Schizosaccharomyces pombe: one gene and its partners. The protein of the gene in region 4 interacts with the protein of the main gene of each other region in a pairwise test. Each region holds a gene or a part of one and is shown on either strand. Other genes may lie near its edges. The genes, in order: pek1, tef3, tcb2 and hsp16.

Region 1 (4,509 bases), 1.7 Mb from region 4:
TCGCTTTCTTTTTGCGTCCAGAATTTTTTAATTTATTAGAAATACCATTGGCCATCAGCCTTTTCTCGTTTCGCTTCTGTCTCCTTTCACCAAATCCCCTATCGATCATCTCAAGAGAAGCCTGGCGTTTAGCGTCCGTAACTTCCTTGATGTATTCAAGCATCTTATTCTCTGACACGTGTTCATATTCAGAAAGCTTAGTTCCTACTCGATCCTCAATAGCATGGACTAAATCAACATCTCTCTCCGTTACAATGGAAATGGACTCGCCACTGCGTCCAGCACGAGCTGTACGACCTACTCGGTGAATATAGTCGTCTGGGTCACGAGGAAGGTCGAAGTTAATTACTAGTTGCACAGAAGGAATATCCAAACCTCTGCTTGCAACGTCAGTGGCTACCAAAATTTTTGCAGCTTCCGCACGAAACCGTCCAAGTGAATTGATCCTTTCACGTTGTACCATTTCTGAATGAAGTTCGGTGACACGAAGCTCGAGCAATCGAAGAATAGAATATATCAATTCAGCAGTGCGAGTCCGATTTACAAAGATAATTGCAGACTTTTTAGCGTTCTCAGGAATCGTTAACAAATGCACCAAATAAGCTTCTCGTACTTGTGAGGAAACAAATATGTAACTTTGCTGCAAAGTAGAAGGTACGGAAATGTTATCAGTTTCAACTTCGTATAACCAAAGGGGAGGCTTATTATTTTTCTGTGGCTGATATTTGAGCTGACGAATAGCATCAGTAACAGTTGCAGTAAACAAAAGCGTTTGACGATCTTCAGAGGCTGGAAGAACAGAAAAGCAATCATCCAAGTCATCAGCAAAGGTAGGAGACAACAAACGGTCGGCTTCGTCCATTACCAAAAATTTTATTCGACGTAGTCCGGCTATCGTTTCTTCACCATTACTTCTAATCAAGTCAGCTAGGCGACCAGGAGTAGCTACAACAACATGGGGCCGTTTCGATAAATCAATAGATTGTCGTATCATATCCATGCCTCCAACGATGAGCGCATGCTTTAAATTAAGATTAGCACCTAAAGCAGCAAATTGTTCATCAATCTGTATTGCAAGTTCTCTGTTCGAGTTAGCTAATTGTAGTAGAATAGTTAACATTTATACTAATTTAAATTTTAAGAAAAAGTACAATAATGTTATATTTTATACCTGGTTGGTGTCAAAATAAGAGCAAATATTCCTGATGGATCCTTAGACCATTTTTCAATAATAGGCAAAGCAAAAGCAGCAGTTTTACCAGAACCTGTTTTAGCACCTCCAATACAATTACGTCCTATAAATTTTTATTTGTTAGGCACATTTTACACTTAATTTTACTTTATTAATTTTTGTAAGCATACCTTCTAAAATCTGAGCAATTACTCCTTCCTGAATATCTGTAGGTTCATATATTGCAAGTGCTTTTAGCGTATCGATAAGCCATGGCGATATTCCTAAATCAGAGAATGATTTTCTTGTATGTTCTGACATGTTTTCTCCCCGATGTAAGGGTTTTATTTAAATTAAATATAATGGTTACTGTACTGTCAAACCAAACTATTGGGATTCAACTTGTTGCCCTTACTGCAAAATTAACACGCTACGCTACATTACGCTGCTTTAGACATTATTGCTGATGCGACATTTTTCAATGACTTTTAGGTCAACATACACAGATAAAATCTTCATATGGTTAACATAAAGTTTTTATTGTTCTCTAAAATAAGTACAGATAGAACTCAAACTAATTTCTTCAGTTTGCTTGTAAGTTATTTAGTGCTTTTTCGGTAAACCAACGTGCAAAACACAATATTTGAACTTTACGTAGTTAATCGTGTTCTTATAATAGTTAACGGATTGTATGTAGTTATTATAAGCCATAGAAAATCATGCAATGATAAATATATTCTTTTATGTTTTCCTTGAACAAAATTAATTATAATTTTAGAGGTAGACATTTATAGTAAATAAAAGAAGAAAGCTCACAGGATATGATAGTCTCATAATTACATTAACTTATACTCGTAATGAACAATTCCCGAAGTCGTTTTAACAAAGGTCTCACTAATTCTAAAATAACGTATCTACATAGCTAAGTCCATAAGTTATTTAGTGAAGTCCTAATTTAGAAATGTAGGTTATACTAATAATGGTCAATCGTATTTAGTATAGCTTCCGAAAACTATACGATTTCTTCTAATAGAGGCCTCGGTTGTTTGTTTGCGAGGAATTAACTCTTCCATCAAAGTTTCCGTTTATAGTGCTATCCTCTAATTTTCTAATTCAGGAAGCAAAAACTTCAAAAAAGTTTATAATTGGTAGGTTTATTTAGCGGGAAGACCATACGTTAGAATTTACTTTCCTTGCGTTTTTGGAAAAGAAGAATAAAAATTGAAGTTTGTTAAAAATACAAACAAACTTTTGGACTTGGTATCAGTCATCTCTTGTCACTCTTTCTACAAATTGAAAAAATATCGAAGAAAGCGCCCATGCCTCTATGTCCAAAAAACCTGTCTTGAACTTAGATACCAGTAATGGGTTCTCTGAAGAATATATAAGTCATCCTGAACGTAATGACAATCAAGGAATTGTCGAGATTACAGACCTGGTGTTTTCTAGCGAGTCGAAATTAACTCAGCGAAAGGAGAGCCGGGATAGTAAAACATTTGTTCCTTCCTTTCTGGAAGAACTTGATGATGATCACCTACATGAATTGGTTACAAATGGAGGTATTTTGTACATGAACAGTCTAGGTGAAGGTGTTAGTGGCTCTGTAAGGAAATGCAGAATTCGTGGGACTCAGATGATTTTCGCTATGAAAACTGTATTAGCTGCTCCGAATACCGCTTTACAAAAGCAACTCCTTCGAGAGTTAAAAATCAACAGAAGTTGTACCTCTCCTTACATCGTTAAATATTATGGCGCTTGCTACAATAACGCAGAGTGTCAGTTAAACATAGCTATGGAATATTGCGGAGCAGGATCTCTCGACGCGATATACAAACGCGTACGCAGTCAAGGTGGACGCACTGGAGAACGACCATTGGGCAAGATTGCATTCGGTGTCCTTAGCGGTTTAAGCTATTTACATGACAGGAAAATAATACACCGTGATATTAAGCCATCAAATATCCTTCTGACGTCAAAAGGTCAAGTGAAGTTATGCGATTTTGGTGTATCTGGAGAATTGGTTAACTCTCTCGCTGGCACATTCACTGGAACTTCGTATTACATGGCGCCTGAACGAATTTCTGGGGGATCTTATACTATATCGTCAGATATATGGTCTTTGGGTTTAACATTGATGGAGGTCGCATTAAACCGGTTTCCATTCCCTCCCGAGGGTAGCCCCCCACCAATGCCTATTGAATTGCTCTCGTATATAATAAATATGCCACCTCCCCTTTTACCTCAAGAACCCGGTATTAAATGGTCGAAATCCTTTCAACATTTTCTATGCGTGTGTCTGGATAAAGACAAAACTCGTCGTCCTGGACCCCAAAAAATGCTTACCCATCCTTGGGTTAAAGCGTTTGAGAGAATTCATGTGGACATGGAAGAGTTCCTTCGTCAAGTCTGGTCTGATTAGAAGAAATAGTGTCATATGTTAGCACTGTAAGTTGATAAATTCTGTTTGAAAATTCTTATGCTAAATTTCTTTACATTGGAGAATGCATAATCTGATTAATGGCAAAATATTATGAGTCTAACTGTCTTCCAGTTCGCTTGTTGTATGAAATAAATAGGAAAGTCATAATAATATATACTTTTTATTAATTGCTAACGGTTTTTCTAATTTTCTTTATACAAATACCTCCTTTATAGTAATTTTATGGGTTTAACATTTTTAACAGAAATAATTTTGGCTTGATTATGCATACTCAAATCGTAGCGAGAAATGATAGATTTACGCCTTGCTAGCTTTTTAACAAAAATAGGCAAAATAGGCGTTATATGGCAACTTAAAAAACGAAAGAATTCGTATATTTAATTATCCACAATTAAGGACTATTTCTTTTCGTTCTCTTATAACGTGAGGCAATGATTCGTTTTTTTTCTAGTCTACGCACGTAAGTTGGTGGTGTAACTACACCAAACTTCCCAGGGTATACATGTCCTTAACTCTTTCAATGAATTAATTGCTTTTCACTACACCGTTCTATCTTTATTTTTAAGTTTAATTTGTATACGTTGTCTGCCTAATAAAAATTATTTAAAAAAAATGACTGAAAAAACTGCTAGTCATTATTGGAATGAAGAAACCTCTATATTGAAGCTTCGTCGCAAAGATATACTTCTGTTTGAAATATATGCCACTACACTTCTTCTAGGTAGCATTTATAGCATTTATGTTGACAAATGGTCGATTACCTCTTACTTTGGAAACTCGAAAAATTTGATTAATTTGATTTTTGTAAAAAGAGGCTGGTTCTGGACTTCTTTAGTATATTTTTATCATGCTTGGGATCAAAAGAGAAACAAAATTGACTTCAAGTTTATTTCAAGGT
Region 2 (6,221 bases), on a different chromosome or scaffold from region 4:
TTATGCTATTTATCTTAAATTTGCATAGTTTCATCTACTTAATATCAAAAATTTCCGCTATTCTCTTACCATATAAAAAACAGTTAAGCAATCTGTCGCAAATATTAATTAAATCTCATTTCTTTGTATTTTTTTTGTATTTTCTAAGAATAATCCGGGTTCCTCACCAAATTTCTAGTATTAGCAAAGAATACCTATGCTGCAATTTTCAATTGACAATTAATTACCAAATGTAATTAAAATTAATTTAAAAATAACGAAAAACAAAATTCAAGTAAGATATAATTAAAAAAAACATTATAAAGTATATACAAAATGGATAATTAATAAATACATTCTAAACTGTTAATTTGTCTTCCTCTGGACGACGAACGCCTTTCATCGATTCTTACCAAAGTTGAAAATTAACAGCAGCTTTTTAGAAATTACATTGATAACATACATGTAGTACACACTTATGGGTCTTCATATACACTCACTTTACATGACAAACTATATTGATAAAACAATTGTCAACTTGAACAATGATCTTTTTTGAGACTTATACTTCGCTCTCAAAAAACTCATACGTTACCACATGTTAGAGTCGTATACTGGAACAATAGCTTATTAATTTCCTAGCCTAGCTAAATCAAAAGTACAGTTACCATCTAATTAATTCAAACCATAATAACAACCTTAAGGACCGTAAGATTCCACAATTAAAAGACTCATAGCAGACACCTTACAGCTCATCGTCACTGACCTCAAGACCAGCCTTACGACGAGCCATACGCTCCTTCTTCTTCTTACGGAGCTCAGCACCAGTGAGCTTCTTGGCCTTCTTAGCCTTTTCAATTTTGTTACCGAAAGCATCAAAAGTATCGCCCTCCTCCTTCTCTTGGATACGAGGACCAGAACCTTGACCGGAAACCCAGTTGTGACCGGAAGGAGTCATGTGACCGTTGTTGACAGCCCAAACTTCCTCAGTCAAACCTTCAGTGAACTCACGGGAGTGAGTGACCAAAACGACACCACCACCAAAGTTCTTAAGACCCTTGGAAAGAGCACCAAGAGAGTCACGATCAAGATAGTTGGTAGGCTCGTCAAGAACGATGACGTGAGGACGCAACCAGGTACAAGCAGCCAAGACAAGCTTGACCTTTTGTCCACCAGAAAGACCCTTGATACGAGAGTGAGAAACCAACTCAGCATCAAGACCCAAAAGGCTGCAGTGCTCCTCAATCTCCTTACGGACCAAGGGACGGAATTGACCACTCTTCAAGGCCTCAGCACGGTCAACTTCAGCAACCATCTTAGCGTGAGTCTCCATAAGTTCACCACGAGGTAACCAAGCATTGTCGGAAGACATCATAGGAACCCAGCGCTCACTCTTCATGCCAATGTTCTCACCGACGAGGAAAGAGCACTCATACTCATAAGAGTTCTTGAGCTTACGACGGCTGTGGATACCCAAAATCTTACGTTGAGTTCCCTCAATCTTGAAGATCTTGTTCTTCATAGCCTCCTCATCAGCCTCGCTGATGACACGAGAAGCCTTATCCATAGCCTCCAAATCTTCACCAGATTGGAAACGCCATTGGATATATTCTGAGGGAGTCTTATCAGGGTGATGACCCAAGTGAGTGAAAGCGGCTTGGGCAACGTAGGCGATACGGCAGTTCTCGTGTTGGTAAATTTCACCAACAGTGGGCAACAATTCACCAGTAAGAACCTTAATCAAGGTAGATTTACCGGCACCGTTGGGACCAATAACGGCAATACGAGAAGAGAGAGAAACTTGGAAAGAAATGTCGTTCAATTGAGGCTTTGAGGTACCAGGGTATTGGAAAGACATGTGTTGGACCTTGATGATAGCACGTTGCTTGGTCTTAACACCTTCCAAGAAACCGGGTTCAGGGAATTTGAATTCCATTTCGGAGGCACCCAACTCATAGTAGGACTTGGCGGAAGGAACCTTCTTAACGAACTCGGACATGTTACCAAGATACTTACGAAGCTTGAAACGCTCGTAGTGGATAATGGCTTGAACAACGTGGTCCAAGAAACCAGAGTCGTGAGAGACAATGATGGAAGAAACATCCTTTTGGTTAACCAAAAAGTTCTCCAACCAGGCAACATTGACAACGTCAAGATGGTTGGTAGGCTCATCAAGCAAAAGAATATCGGGGTTCTTGAACATAGCACGGGTAAGAGCCAATTTCATCTTCCAACCACCAGAAAGGGAACCGATAGGCATGTTAATGAGTTCATCGGTGAAAGAGTTCTCCTTCAAAGCCTTGACAATTTCATCACGGTCCTTGATGGGGACAGCGGGATCTTGGAGAATGAAATCGACGGAAGGAGTGTCGGCTTCAGACTCGTCGATATCGTGCTCAACGTAGACGGTACGGAGATGAGTAGGGAAACCTTCAACTTGACCGTTGACAATGGCACGCATAAGGGTAGACTTACCGGAACCGTTAGGACCGCAAAGACCATAACGACGACCACGCTTAAGACGGAGACGAGTACGGTTAAGAAGAATCTTGGCACCATAAGCAAGAGAGAACTCACAGTTGCAAAGATCCTCACCCTCCTCTTCCTCCTCAGCATGAGAAGCACCACCAGGAATCTTGGCGATAGAGCGGGTACGGAGTTGCTCAACGATCTTGTGAATGTGGGCCTCGTCAATGAAGGCAGTCAAGTAAGGAGTGATGTTGAGAACCCAGGACTCATTTTCGTTATCCTTCTCTTCAACGAGTTGGGCAGCAATGTTAGCAACGTACTTAGCAATAACCTCCTCGTTGGTGGGGACCTTGATCTCACCGAGAACAGCCTTCAAAGTTTCGAGACAAACTTCAGGGTTGGCGGCGGTAGAAACCTCAGGGATCTTACCGTCAACAACGTTACCAACACGCTCTAAAGTGGTGATGGCACGTTGAACAACGGAACGACATTCAGGGTCACCAATGGTGTCCTTGATGTGGTACAAACCAGGCAAAAGCTTGGGCAAGAAAGGAGCGACGACTTGAGGATCCTCGACAAGCTTGGACATGTTGTCAATAATGACAGCAGTCTTACGCTTAATGGGAGTGGAACGCTCATTCAAACCACGGGCCAACAAGGGGACCATGATAGACAAAGTGGGGGCCTGGACTTCAGTAACGAAAGTAGTGGCACCCAAAGAGTGAATAGTCTCAGGGACCTCCTCGGGGTGAGCAATACAGTTGATAAGCTCAGGAATGAAACGGTCAATATCGGCGTTGGCAATCAAAGTACAGACCTTGGTCATGGTTTCCTTGGATTGCTTCTTAACCTCAGCCTTGGTATCCCACATGGACTCGGAAACAACAGGGATAATTTGAGGAAGGGAGTAGGATAATTGGGAAGGAGCAACCTCAACGAGAACATCCAAAAGTTGCAAAGAGTTCATCTTCTCATTCCACTTACCAGTGGTGTGGATGGACTCGAGAACAGAGGGGACGATGGCCTTGACGGCATAAGGGGTAGTGCAACGGACAATAGCCTTAGAAGCAGCAATGGCAGCATCTCTGACAGCGTTTTGCTTGTCAGCAACCTTGGCGATGACGGCGGGCAACAACTCGACCAAGTAAGGCTCGACATCAGCGGCAACACTACCATGGTTGGCAACGGCCTCAAGACCCTTCAAGACACGCTCACGAGCAGTGGCGTTCTTGTCGTTCAACTGCTTGGAAATAGCAGAGAAAACTTGAGAAGGCGCGTCTTGCTCTTCGATGGGTCCGTTGACAAAAGAAGCCAAAGCCTTGGCAGCATCAGCTTCCTCTGCGGCATCGCAGACAGTAAGGTGCTTCAACAACTCTTCAAGAGCTTTGACTGACTGCTTATTCTCACTCTTTGCAGACATCCCGGGGAAATGGTTGTTGGTAGATGAGCGGAGGTCCTGGTTGTATATGAATGGATTTTCTTAATGAAAATTTTGCAACTAAGAAAATACAGAAGGAGTACTTAAAATAAAATAATAATATGTTTTTATGTATTTAAATCTCATATTTACAATGTGACTGTTCTTTTTCTTTGGTTTTCTTCTTGGTGGTGGCCATAATCCACGGTTTCTTTGGCGGTGTTTAGTGGTTAGCGACGTGGAAAAACTATTAAGCGGCAAAATTAGAAGTCGCTAAATAAAATAACGTGTTTAGTGGCGGCGTCCTTTGTATGACGATATCATTGTAAATGTAAGGCTATATTAAAGATATCACTATAGATAAAGCATGCCATGAACAAATCGACGCGGTCCTTATGTCTCGTTAAACTAATACCACACTGCGTTGTTAAGAACGATTTTTGACGCTGTAACTCTTCTTTTCAACATATGTTGCTTGTAAGCTTTCCGTGGCTAAATGACCTCTGGCAATAATATGGTTTTGGTCGCATAACATGATGCAGTAGCACTAAATGAATTTAGCATAGGGTCGGCATAATCGCATTCAGATAGCTGCTGTCGGACATCATATTTTCAGAGTCAGAACTGTAATGATTGTATATTGGATCGTTATATACCCGCATCATTTATATAAGGTGAATATAGATATATCCTTCATTGAATTTCTATAAGTAAACTCAAATGAACTCCGTTTATGAGTTCATTCGCGAGTTAATTTAAGTGCATTCATAGTAATGTATTACATTATTACAAATATCTTAATACATATTTATAATCATTCATATTGCAATACGCGGGTCATAAAGGTCGCAACTGGGGTATAGTTATTCTGTTATACAGGTTATATTTTTACCTATCACTAATATAGCGTATAACTGATCCTCGTTCTTCATTTCAATTGTGCTTCCATTTGCATTATTCAGATAGTATAGAACTTATTATAATTTCATTAGGAACAATCGTAATATCGTATCATCTATGGTATAATTAGAATATGTAGCATATAGTGATATTCAGCGTTGTGTATCGCAGCGTATGTAATATTGCTGACACCTTAACCGATTTAGCAGAGTACGTAACTGACGAGTTTGAAGCAGTTTTTATGTATTACCATTTTTACTTAATAAAAATTATGTAGAGCGAGTGATGATGCCAAGTTTCTCTTTTATTTTGTAATAATCTATATTAGTAATATTTACATACCTGTCAACTTTTTTTTTCGCAAATTTTTTTAAACAATTTCATGGAATTAATGTTTGAAGAAAACATATCAGATCAATGATCAGCTTGAATAAAAAAAAAAATTGAAAAGAAAAGAAAGTTTTCAACTAGTTGGTTCATTCTAGTAAGTGATGATTGTAATTGATTTAAAAAAAAAAAAAATCCTTCGCTTAATAGAAAGAATGCTTTTCTTTGTTGTATTAAAAAAAATACTGAGTAGTATTAACTTAATTTACTTAGATAAATTAATTTACATATACTTATTTATTTATTATTATTTTTTTTCAGCTGCTCTACATATCTCAAGTTGATGAGTTGTAGAGGACTTTATTTTCGCATTCACTCAATTCAAGTTTCGAACACACTATGCAAATTAAAAATGTTCTCTTAATGAAAAGTATATTTGTTCGTATATTCATAGTTCAATTTACCGTTGCGATTGAAATCATCGAAATGTAGCATCATGTAACACGGTGAAAATAGAGACTGAAACAAATAATTTCAGGCTACATACCAACTATACGTAGGAAAGCAAATTTACGCTTGTTCGTGAAAACCTATGTACTCAAGCATAATCGTAGCGGACTTTAGTGTTTTTAACGTTTATTCCATCAATAATTAATATACTTAGGATTCACAGTGTGAAATGAGGTTAACATACCTTAACTTGAGGAGAGTTAATCTAATGAAAATCATAGTTACGTTTTACATATCATCAATGTATGTACTATTGTTTTGTGTATGTGCCATAGGCATGCCAAATAACATGGCTATTTATAATGTAAACGAGTGTGTGCAAATGTATAATTAATTTCATTAACTTCTTTTGAAAATATCTGCTTCTAACACAAACATTAAACCTTCTAAAATTGTAAAGTCCGCAATTACAAGTCTACTACTTTGTTGATCGTTAGTCTAACATGCGTCAAGTAGAGACAGCCATTGAGAACTACTGCCACTACATATATGCCATAGCGTATCAATAGGCATATCTTCGATCCCATACTTTCTTTTAACAATTAACAATTTAAGAAAGAATTAATTTCTTATTCAAAAATCGCTCCTTTGAAATTGTTACAAGAGTCAATGCCTACTG
Region 3 (7,204 bases), on a different chromosome or scaffold from region 4:
GGAAGCAAAAGCTACAGTACCCTTGTCAGGGAAAACTTGGCAGTCGCCAAGGACCTTGTCGTAATAAGTAGAAATAACGACGTTAACAGACTCAACGACACGAGCAAAATTTTGATAAAGCTCTTCTTGAGAAATTTGAAGTTCGAGCAAAGCACGGTCAACTTTGTTAACAACAACAACTGGTCTAATACGTTCACCCAAAGCTTGACGGAGCACAGTCTCGGTTTGGACACAGACACCCTCAATGGTATCAACAACGACCAAAGCACCGTCAGTGACACGAAGAGCGGCAGTAACCTCAGAAGAAAAGTCAACGTGACCGGGAGAGTCAATCAAGTTAACCAAGAAGTCAGTACCATCAGCAGGCTCCTTCATATCCTTCATATCATCGTCAGTCATTTCAGCAAACAAGGAAATGGCAGTAGACTTGATGGTAACACCACGCTCTTGTTCGTCAGCACGAGTATCCATGAAACGAGCATCACCAGCCTTGGCAGCAGAAATAATACCGGCCTTTTGAACCAAAGAATCAGTCAACGTAGACTTGCCGTGATCGACGTGAGCAATCACAGACATGTTACGGACATTGGATGGTTTGCCCATCAAATTACGGACCTCCTCAGGTGTGAACGCGACCATACTTGCAATAGTACTTTTTTGTGCGTGGTTGGTTCTAGTTATAAATCAAAGCCTAAAATTTTTATGTGTGCTTTCTGGTCTCCTTAACCCTACCCTACTTTAGCTACTTCAGGGACTGGTTTTTTCGTCAACAATAACTTTACATACTCAATACGTGTATTAAGAAAGTTGAAGTAATAATTTAGTAAGCCAACCGATAAATTTTTTGCAGTATAAATATAAATAATATCATGTAATCATCAGTTTGGTTTCCTACATCAGTTTAGGTGTTGCTAGTACTTTTATCATGAACAGACCATAAATAATCAAACACACGTATTTAAATCTCGAACACACGGTCAAGAATGTTCTTCCATACTTTTGTAGCAAAAAGTCGTTTCATCCATCGTTAGCCATCAATAATTCATTTACGTTGCTAAAAAGAAGCACAGTTGTGTTTATTTTGAAATCTCGGTTTCAACATCTGGCTGTCGTCCGTTCAAAGCAAATTTTCTTCGAAGATTTCTCCATCCCATCTTCGCTCCATCTTTTACCCATTCTCCTGTGCGCACAATTTTTGAGTTGTAAGGTCCACGATGTAATCGCTTCTCCAATTCACGATCATCAGCATTCACCAATTTCCTTTTTTGATCATCACTGGAAATATTGCTATGTATTGTAACAGCATCGCTATCATCTGCTAATACAGGTTCAACGTTCTCAGAAGCGCCGGGTTGATTAGTACCTTCTTGAGCGTGTGCTTTCGGTCGGTTTTTTGAGGCATAACCAAGAGAAATAAATTCTTGCTCAAGGTTACGTTCATTACTATTCATCGTACCTAGAGAGTTTCTACCCTGGATATCTCCATTGACATTTGGATCCACCATTGAAACTGTTTGTGTACACTCAATTGGTGTCCGATCCGTGGTCGTCTCCTCGTCCTCGGTATCAACAGAATCATCTGACTCAAATTTAGAAGATGCAGTGGTAGTCTCTCGGCTTTCATCCAGGCTTGCTCGTTGATCCGCTAACGGATTCTTCATGTCTTTCACGTAACCTCTTCTTAAACCCATTGACTTAAGGCATCTATATGTCTCAAATATAGCTGCTTCATCGTCGTTGTCAACAAGTTGCTCGTGGGAATCGTCCAAACCTCGATGAAAACATATCCTAGTACTCAAATATCCAATGATTTTAAATTCTGACTCTTTATCCGGGTGATCAAAATCTATCATGTTTTGTAAAACATGTGCTGGTTTGGACGAAGTAAAAATCGGGACCCGAATGTTTTGCTCTACATTGTCTTCCAGATCAACCAACCAAACCATGGCAAATACATTATGTTTCCTCTGAAGTTGTTTTCTGAACTCGAACACAACAGCTGATCTGTAACGATTGTTAACTGGAATTACAGCATGTCTACTCCGAACATGGTATTCAGCAGTGCTGGAAGAATTGGAAGTACTACTTTTAGCAGTAATTTTTACGCCTGCTATGTTAACTCTAATTGAAGAGAATGAAACATCAGATACACTTCCTGTTCCTTCAGCAACAATTTGTCGATCCATGAATTCCAGAGTACCAATATCCCAACCCAACAAATTTCTGGGAATTTTCAATTTCATACTCCTAAAAAGAATGGAAATGCGAACACTCCCAAATCCGATACCACCTTGTATGGGATACCATTTTGTCAGTTGGGAAGAAGTTGTTAACGTCGTAGCGAGTGGAATGTTAACGACTCCAAGAATGGAATCATGTTCACGCAATTTGAAATCACGTACGGTGAAGCACAACATTGCATTTCTCCAATCCTTAACAAATTTTTCGCTTCCAGCGTTGTAAATAGGGTTTGATGTAAATACCTTGGTTCGTGTTTTATACACGAGTGTGTCATCTAAATCAACACAAACATAGGAAGAAGGTAGCTCTGAACCTTCTTCAGCTGTTACATCTCCTACGCTCTGAGCCGGACTTGTGTTATAGTTTCCACTCACGTTTCCAAAAGTACCAGTTGGATGGTTCATTTGCAAATTCACAGCTTGATGCACGGTAAAAGATAAAATGCCACTAGGATACTCTTCATCAGGAGCAGTCGTGACAGCAGCTTCCTCTTCTTTATTATCCAATGAGCCATGTGGATTTTGAAAAGCTGGATCATCTCTCATAGACCTTGGAATAGTGATATCATGTCCACTCGTTTTTAAAGAAGGTTTAAATTCGGCTCTAGGGAAGTACCCAATTTCGTAAAACACCCTGCCAGGTAGACTAGTATCTTCACTAATTCCAGTAAGCGTGTCGCATCTTTCATGCATTTTTCCAGAATCTTGAATAAGAAGGTGTAAACCGATTTTCGTGCGGCCTACTACATCATCGGGACTAAACCTGTCACTATCCCATAATTCAATAGAAATCTTCTCACCGGCTTTAACTTGATCAGGGAACACAGGAATAAAAGCATATTCATTCCAGATAGGATTCAGATCCTGTTTTACGACGCGTGTACAGTACAAAGGTTTACCAAACTTATGAAAACCGACGGTTATATAAGCATCAGAAAGACCATTCACATCCTGCTTACTTAAATCTTCTGCACGATTAATATGAACAAAAATAACGCCCAATGCATTGACCTCTTTCTTTATATCATCTCCTAAAAGCGTCTTGGACAAATCAATAGTCATACTTTTGGGACTAACGTATTCATTTGCAGCCGCGGAAATAGCGTCATTAACGAATTTTGAAATTAATGGAAGTCCAAATATGTTAACACCTCCCTCAGCTACGGGAACAGCGGACACATTCAGTTCGGGAAGTCCCATCAAAGAGAAGGTGACATTTTTCAAAAAAGGAACCTCAGGCATGAGTTCACAGCGAAAGCGGATTCTAGCAACAAATCCTTTTATCTCGACCCATATTGGAAGGGGAAATCCCACTGTACCTTTAATACCTGGATAAAAAACTATGCGTAAATGCAGGTTGGAAGCTCGAGCACTGGTTGATGTTGCATCCTCAACGGGTTTGGCGTGATAAGCTAGACAAAGTTCGAAGTTATAAAATTGTTTTCGCTGCTGTTCTGGCTCGTCTTTGTGTTCAGCTTCAGAGGCTTGCTTCTCACTAAACGATTCACTGGCCTCACCTGAAGGCAAACTTCGAATGGAAACAACACGAACGGGATGACTTCCTTGGTCCAAAGAAGCAACGCGCACATTTTCAACAAACGACGGTATAGAGGCTTGCATTACATCTTCAATTTGGTCAGCTACAGAAGAAAACATTTCAGGATTGATTAAGGGCCAAACTTTTTCCAATAAATGATTCATCCACTCGGCGCTTTCGGGAATCAAATTCAAACGAGCGTATTCTCCGCGTTTTTGTTCAGCGCCCCATTCCGCATCCTTGGCAACAGCATATATATTTTGCATCCATAAATACATACATGAAGAAATGGCCAGAGGCAACACGGCTGAAATGATAATAGAATGAGTAAAGAACCACGAAATTACGAGAGAAAATATATATGCAAACAAAGAATATTGACCAGTTTTTTGTTTGACCTCTTTCGATACATAAGATAGATCAATGGAAGGGGAGGGGAAAAAGAGAATATTCGTTTTTTCATCGCTAATAGGGACATCACGAGTGATTTGATTATCCGCTTCTGGTGGAGCTAAATCATCTTGATGCTGCTTATAAACATTTGTTGGTTGGTTGGATGACAAATAAGGCTTTTCAGAAGGTAAGGATGAACCTTGGATTGATTGATTAGGAACTGTAAAACTAGGATCATCATATGTTTTGGCATAATCGAAATGAACGTCGTTAATCTCTACATCTCGCTGGGTAATTGGGTCGAATAATTTTTCGTTTTCAGTCTGTTCCCGTTGTTGCTCTTCCTTTTTCTCTGCACGCTGTTTGCGATCGCGAAAGAATTTTGGAATAGTGGGGATCGGACGACGTCCTGAATAGGGGTCAGAAGAGCGATAGTGTTGTTGCTTGGTGGAATCTCCGCTATGAGTAGACATATTGGGAGCGAAAAAGTATAGGAAATTTCAAAAAAAAAAAGAAACGGATGGTTAGTACACAAATAGACTATATAAAAACAAAGAAGGGTTCAACTTTCAAAGAACTAATTTTTTTGGCAATTTATATACGAAGCAACAATAAGGCAAACACCAATGCAAAATTGATTTAAAGAAGAAAATAATTTATTTCTTTGAATTTTGCTTTTGATTTCGGTTTTAACGGAGGTTTTGGTTTTTGTGTATATAAGGACTTTTCTTATTAACGTCTTCCTATAAAGCCCAGATTTTTTTTTGTTCTTTTCTTTCTCTTTTTAAAAGCACCTTCTCAAGAAATGTATCAAGCTCTATCAGCAGTAACAAAACACTGACTGTAAAAATGAATCGGCGAGTTTTTCACGAAGGAGATAGGCAATATTAAATTGAAATAAATAAATAAACAGAGGATGTATCGGGGATAAGACGATGGATGTTACGTTTTTCAAAGAATATGAACGATAAACAAGTAAAATTGGAAACGGGGTATTGACGATGTCTGTCTGTTTATAAACCAATATATAATATAGTCGTTTTCACAGTTACAGGACAAGCAAGTCAAATATTTTAAAAGTCGATTTGGACTTCGTTTGTCGATGAAAGAAACACAAATTTAGATATGCGAACAGCGTAGGCATAAAAACACCTGAATTTCTCAATTCACCCTTGCACTTATGCAAACGTAACCATATATCTTATTGCGTAAGAAAGTCATCACCATCGTGTATTTCGCCTATAAGATTGTATTTGACGTAAGAAACGATTGTGTAGTGGACAGCATCCGTAGTAATAAACAAGGTAAGCTCATCTCCCCCAGCATTTATTATAGCGGTGGGCACCGTGGTTCATAGTAGAGCGTTAATCACGAAAGTAAAAGAAGCAAAGGAAACTGGAAACAATTGAAGAAAGCAAAAGTCGTAAAAGAAATGTCAAAATAAGACGCAGTGAAGAAAAGGAAATGTCATCAACTCAACTATTTCGTTAAAAATTTAAGACAAGTAATTTTTTTCCGCGATTGTTAAAAGAACTCTATTCATGATGAATTTCTTCCATGTTTTCCTTCATAAAATCGTATTTTTGTATTATCTTGTGGGCATTTTATCAAGCTTTAAAAATGTAAATTTGAAACATTTCAAATTTCAAATTTTAGATGTTTATAAGCACATAGATGCAAGGTAGTAAATAAAACAACCAAACAAAATCATTGATGCAGAATTTTATCCTAATGAGCGGGAAAAGACATTTCTTTAGAGGAAAACTGTACAACAAACATTCCAAAGACGTAAAGCTTTTAGCAACTTGAGGAATATGCAACCCGCTTAACAAACAATTGATTGGAATAATTCGTCAATCTTTTAAAGAAAAGAGAAATTTGATAAACAACTTTTCTTAAGGAAAACAAATTAATCCTCCAATAACAAAACAATGAGAAAACAGGCTTGAGTCGCGTACTAGCCTTCCTTTCTTCATGTTTTCAGCACAAGAATAAAGTATTTTATAATTAAATTATTTCAAACATTTTACGGATCTTCTATATGAACCAAAACTTAACAATTTTCTATTCATAGGTCTTGGTGGAAAGTAAAGGTAAAAAGGAAACACTGCTATGTAAACAAACAACTTTCAGGTATATTGTATCGTACCTTGCAAAAGCATAATTATGCAGCTCGTTATTTGCACATGCTTGAAAACTACCGAAACTCAATTGTAGAAATGTAAATAAAACGTTTAAAAACATTATCTTCTTCTTTTGTTCTATGCTCGTAATAGGATAGGAAAAAATGTACCTGTTATATTTTCCTATAATTAAAGAATCTAAAAAAAATTTCATTAGCTACCGCGTAATCGATATGATGGATATACTACTAGTTATTAAACTGCCAAAAATTCATGTTCCTTAGTCTTTAACTAATAAAGTACAATGCATTTTAAATAAGCTGTTTTTTCATAATCAATGGATGATCGGACTACTGTTTTCGTTTCCTATTATTTCTTTCAGTATAATGCATTTGCAATACATCGTTTAATATGTAGCGTGGTTGGACGTGCTATCTTAACTTGATATTTGCGAGACATAAAACAGCGACACTGATGCGTTATATATCTTCTGAATGTAAACAAATGAGCTGAGAGTCCAACTGAATAGTCCCTTATCTTGTGCTTACAATTTTGCCAGAGAAAAGAGAAATTAAACAAAAAAAATTAATTTCACGTATTAAAATCTGTAAAGTCGGAACCTCCGTTTTCTTGAACATCCTACTGACTGTTTCCAAAGACTTGGGGCTATCAAACATTTTCAGTGACATAAAAACCTATCCAAAATAAAGAAGTAAATTACCCTTAAACAATTAGAGTATTGTAAAAAAAAAGGCTCAACATTTTCTGTTGAAAGCTCTGCTGTCTAGTCTGTGATGTCAACTTCAATGTATAGATACTTCAATTTAATCGAATTGTCCATGTTTTGTAAAGCCTATGAAGTATTTTTATCATAAACGTCCTTATGATTTACCAATTGGGAGGCCAAACAT
Region 4 (3,457 bases):
TTGATGTATGCAAAGTATCTAAACGGTGAGAGGTTTCAACAGGAAAAGTGGGCGAGGCTGCGGTAGGCGTTTCGACTTCTGACATTTGAACAGAAATGCAAACCGAAGATTAAAATTATCTCCGGAAATTATTGGTTCTATTAATTAAGTTCTATGAATTGTCATGATTGTTATATCGAAAAGCATGTACGTTAAACGCAGCTGTTTGATAATAAATACTTTAGGTTTTGGTGTTGATAGAATAGTGTATATTAACGAGATTCGCCGAATTTAAGTTTTACAAAGCCATAGCAATACAAGAGCTTTCGGCTTTACTGTAGAGCTAGATATTATAGCAAACAAGAATTTGGTTTAATCACACACGAAAACCATAACATTCTTAACTTTAAACTGTATGTTGATTACTGAAAAAGAAAGGTACCCTAGGCTATATATTTATGTGTACTTTTTTTTATAGGAAACATTGGATCACCCAAGGATTAGTGGTAGTATGGAAACACTCGCTCAAGGCCAAGGAGATTTAACTACTTTTAGGTTAGCGTGTCCATGAACCAATGAACTAGTAATATAAAGAATAAAAATAGAAAGGAACACATCTATGAAGCCCTTGTCCCTAACATGAAATCACAAAACTTCCGCTTAAACAAACCTTATGGCTCACTAATAAAACCAAAAATTGTTAAGAGCATATTATCAGATCTCCGCAAAAGGAAGACGATTTCATTGCCCCGGTGATTTAAGACTCAAAGAGCATACACAACTTTATGATATGCTAATGTAACTCCTGTTAATTCATTAGGAGCTACATAATACTGTTCTTTTTTTTTGAAAAAAATAAAAATAAATCTACACATATTACGATAGAGCATTTTGAAACAACTTGTTTTCTAATTAGGAATAAAAAAATATTTATTTATTTATTTATTTTGAAAAATTGCTAGAGATCACTTGCTCATCATTGGAGAATCGTAACAAGTGGTAGTCAAGATCATTAAAACACTGTCTGACAGCTGGCCATAAATTGCTTGATGTGGAATTTAAATGCTCTTTTACTGTTTAGAAGACCGTGTTCAATTCATTATCAAAATTCATCAATCCAATGGCAAGCGGATCATTAATTGCATATGTTATGATTGATTGTTAAATCAAACAATAATATATGCTCACAATCCAACAAGATTGGTCTCATAACCATTTCGAAACTATCATATTAAAATCGGAAGAGACGATTTTACTTAATAGCAATTTGTTTCTTAGTTTGGGACTTCTCGACCTTGGGCAAGGTGACAGTCAATAGGCCATTACTGAAGTTGGCCTCAATGCGATCTGCATCAATCTTGGCTGGAATAGTAATGGTACGAGAGAATGAGCCAAAGCGACGCTCTGACCAGCGTTGGTTACCCTCGGTGCTTTCATTCTTTCTCTCATTGACGACTTCGCCAGAAATAGTAAGTTTTCCGCTATCATAATGGACTTGAACGTCCTCTTTCTTAACACCAGGGAGTTCTACATCAACGCTAACAGTGTCTTTACCCTCATGCACATCAATCGAAGGAGACAACTCCCCAGGAATTTGGTTGTTCAAACGAGGGGAGTAACTAACAAAGTCAGAGAACAAGTCGTTGACAGTAGGGGGAAAGCCGAAAAAAGGTTGCAAAGACATTTTTTAAAATTTAAACAATTGCGAGTAACTTGAAATTATATGAATTCAATTCAAATCTGTATTTGTTCGATGCTGGACTAGCGGAAGGAGTACCCTTATTTATACCTTTCTGGGAAGCACGGAATGGGATGGATGTCATATATTGTACGATGACTCGAATTTTCTCGTAAACGTTGTGAAAGATCACGAATTTGCCGGAGTTTGTACTTTCGGAACGGCGTCTTTTGCTAACACTCAAACTCTGTATTGGGTGGACTTAGATGTTCGTTAGTGCTTGCTCTAGAAAAGTCCAAATTTGCCACTTATGCGCCACAACCGAGGCAGATTCAAATATAAACTTCGGTACGCAAGGCTGTGCTATCTTTCTAGAGAGATCTAGAAAATAATCATTCTAGTAGAGTTAGAAAAATACTCATTTCATTGACTGTATATCGTTTCCTTTACCTTATTTTTTTTTTTACTTTGTAGTCAACTAACCAAAATAAAATTTTTAGGACGCATTTAGATTTGTAAATAAACCATAACGTAAGAATTTTTCTTTCTAATCTTATGATTTGAGCGCTTTATTGGCAAAGACGTATTTTGTGCATTCACGCAATTGTTGCTCATGCACTTGAAAACATTTCATAAATCTATAAAACTTATGCGACTTCCTCTTGTTCGTCATAAAATTGTTCTTCTGCAATATCTACGTTAAAAGCATAGCAATATGAATAGTTAATTCCTTTACTTTACACAATTGTTGGGTTAAGTTACGCAAATTTCTGCGATTGTTAACTTTTTAAATATTCAAATAATAAATATATTTGAAGGAATCGGACGTTCTACTGTATCGTCGCACCTCATATTAGATGTTTTTTCCATCATTGCAGTAATGCTCACGGTAGAGTGTTTGATTTACGCAATAAATTTCACAAGTGACTCAATTGGAAGATCCTTAAAATTGTGGGGTACATCCCGTCGCTTACGATTTGCGGAGACGGAGAGTTTTCACAACAAAAAACCTACGTCATTATTTACCCAACATGAGTTTTCCTATTCATGCGCATATCAATGAAATCTATATTATCGTAAAGTCAATTTCGTACAGCTGTCGTTTTAATCTTTAGTTTAGAAAAAAGTAGCTAACTCTCTAGCAAGGAAAATAAATATTGAGGTTTATAACATGATTCAACCACTACATTCGAAAAGCAAATGAAAAATTTACGACGGAAGCTATCGCTCTTTTTTCAATAAACAAACCCTTTCCTGAATTGTTGACAAAGTTTATTATTAATTACTAATAAACAACTATGAGAAAAGATGGGGAAACTGCAAATTATGCCTAATGACTGCCGAATATCATGATATTACTTCCATCTTTCCATTCTGCCGTCTTCTTTTAAGTCTTTTACCTACCGAATAATACATGATCAAAATCTTACTAAAAATAATGTCGTTTAATAACTCATTACATATTACATACCGCATAATGCGAATTGCAATATCCGACGGTTAAAATATAGACATTTACGGTATACAAATGAAGTTTACCAACTCACTAGACAATGTAAAATACACGACGTACTAACTTGCTTTGCTAATTTTGATAAAATGAAGAATTTCATGAAATTTAAAAGTGGAAAACATTAACAGTAAAATATGTATAGGTCCAACAAAACTATGATAACAATGATATATGAAACTCTCCGAACTCATTTGAAAAATAAGACAAAAGACAACGTCTATACTTTAGTTTTTTTTAATCAGAATCATTATCATCCAATTTCTCATACAAGCCGCTATTTACAGCTT

What was found.
Region 1: the proteins of hsp16 (region 4) and pek1 interact in a two-hybrid assay, tested with the Schizosaccharomyces pombe proteins (2 studies listed by BioGRID).
Region 2: the proteins of hsp16 (region 4) and tef3 interact in a two-hybrid assay, tested with the Schizosaccharomyces pombe proteins (one study listed by BioGRID).
Region 3: the proteins of hsp16 (region 4) and tcb2 interact in a two-hybrid assay, tested with the Schizosaccharomyces pombe proteins (one study listed by BioGRID).

What each region holds. Positions count from the first base shown.
Region 1 is NC_003423.3:4,310,265-4,314,773, forward strand, and holds pek1 (MAP kinase kinase Pek1), read left to right. Parts: upstream 1-2,178; 5' UTR 2,179-2,498; coding exon 2,499-3,590; 3' UTR 3,591-3,876; downstream 3,877-4,509. Other genes in the region: ATP-dependent RNA helicase Dbp8, read right to left, coding at 1-1,082, 1,172-1,295, 1,363-1,492; fit1 (CoA pyrophosphatase (FIT) family lipid storage protein), read left to right, coding at 4,224-4,509. UniProt on the Schizosaccharomyces pombe protein: Involved in the mkh1 signal transduction pathway that plays a role in cell wall integrity. Activates spm1/pmk1 via phosphorylation.
Region 2 is NC_003421.2:1,683,313-1,689,533, reverse strand, and holds tef3 (translation elongation factor eEF3), read right to left. Parts: upstream 3,890-6,221; 5' UTR 3,869-3,889; coding exon 725-3,868; 3' UTR 583-724; downstream 1-582.
Region 3 is NC_003421.2:530,761-537,964, reverse strand, and holds tcb2 (tricalbin, C2 domain protein (phospholipid binding) ER-plasma membrane tethering protein Tcb2), read right to left. Parts: upstream 5,309-7,204; 5' UTR 4,644-5,308; coding exon 1,077-4,643; 3' UTR 763-1,076; downstream 1-762. Other genes in the region: translation elongation factor 2 eft202, read right to left, coding at 1-639; tyrosyl-DNA phosphodiesterase Tdp1, read right to left, coding at 7,182-7,204. UniProt on the Schizosaccharomyces pombe protein: Has a role in meiosis.
Region 4 is NC_003423.3:2,659,259-2,662,715, forward strand, and holds hsp16 (heat shock protein Hsp16), read right to left. Parts: upstream 1,735-3,457; 5' UTR 1,664-1,734; coding exon 1,232-1,663; 3' UTR 881-1,231; downstream 1-880. Other genes in the region: 1-phosphatidylinositol-3-phosphate 5-kinase Fab1, read right to left, coding at 1-85; SPOM_SPBC3E7.17 (uncharacterized protein), read left to right, coding at 2,538-2,720; ric8 (synembryn ric8-like protein), read right to left, coding at 3,230-3,392, 3,439-3,457.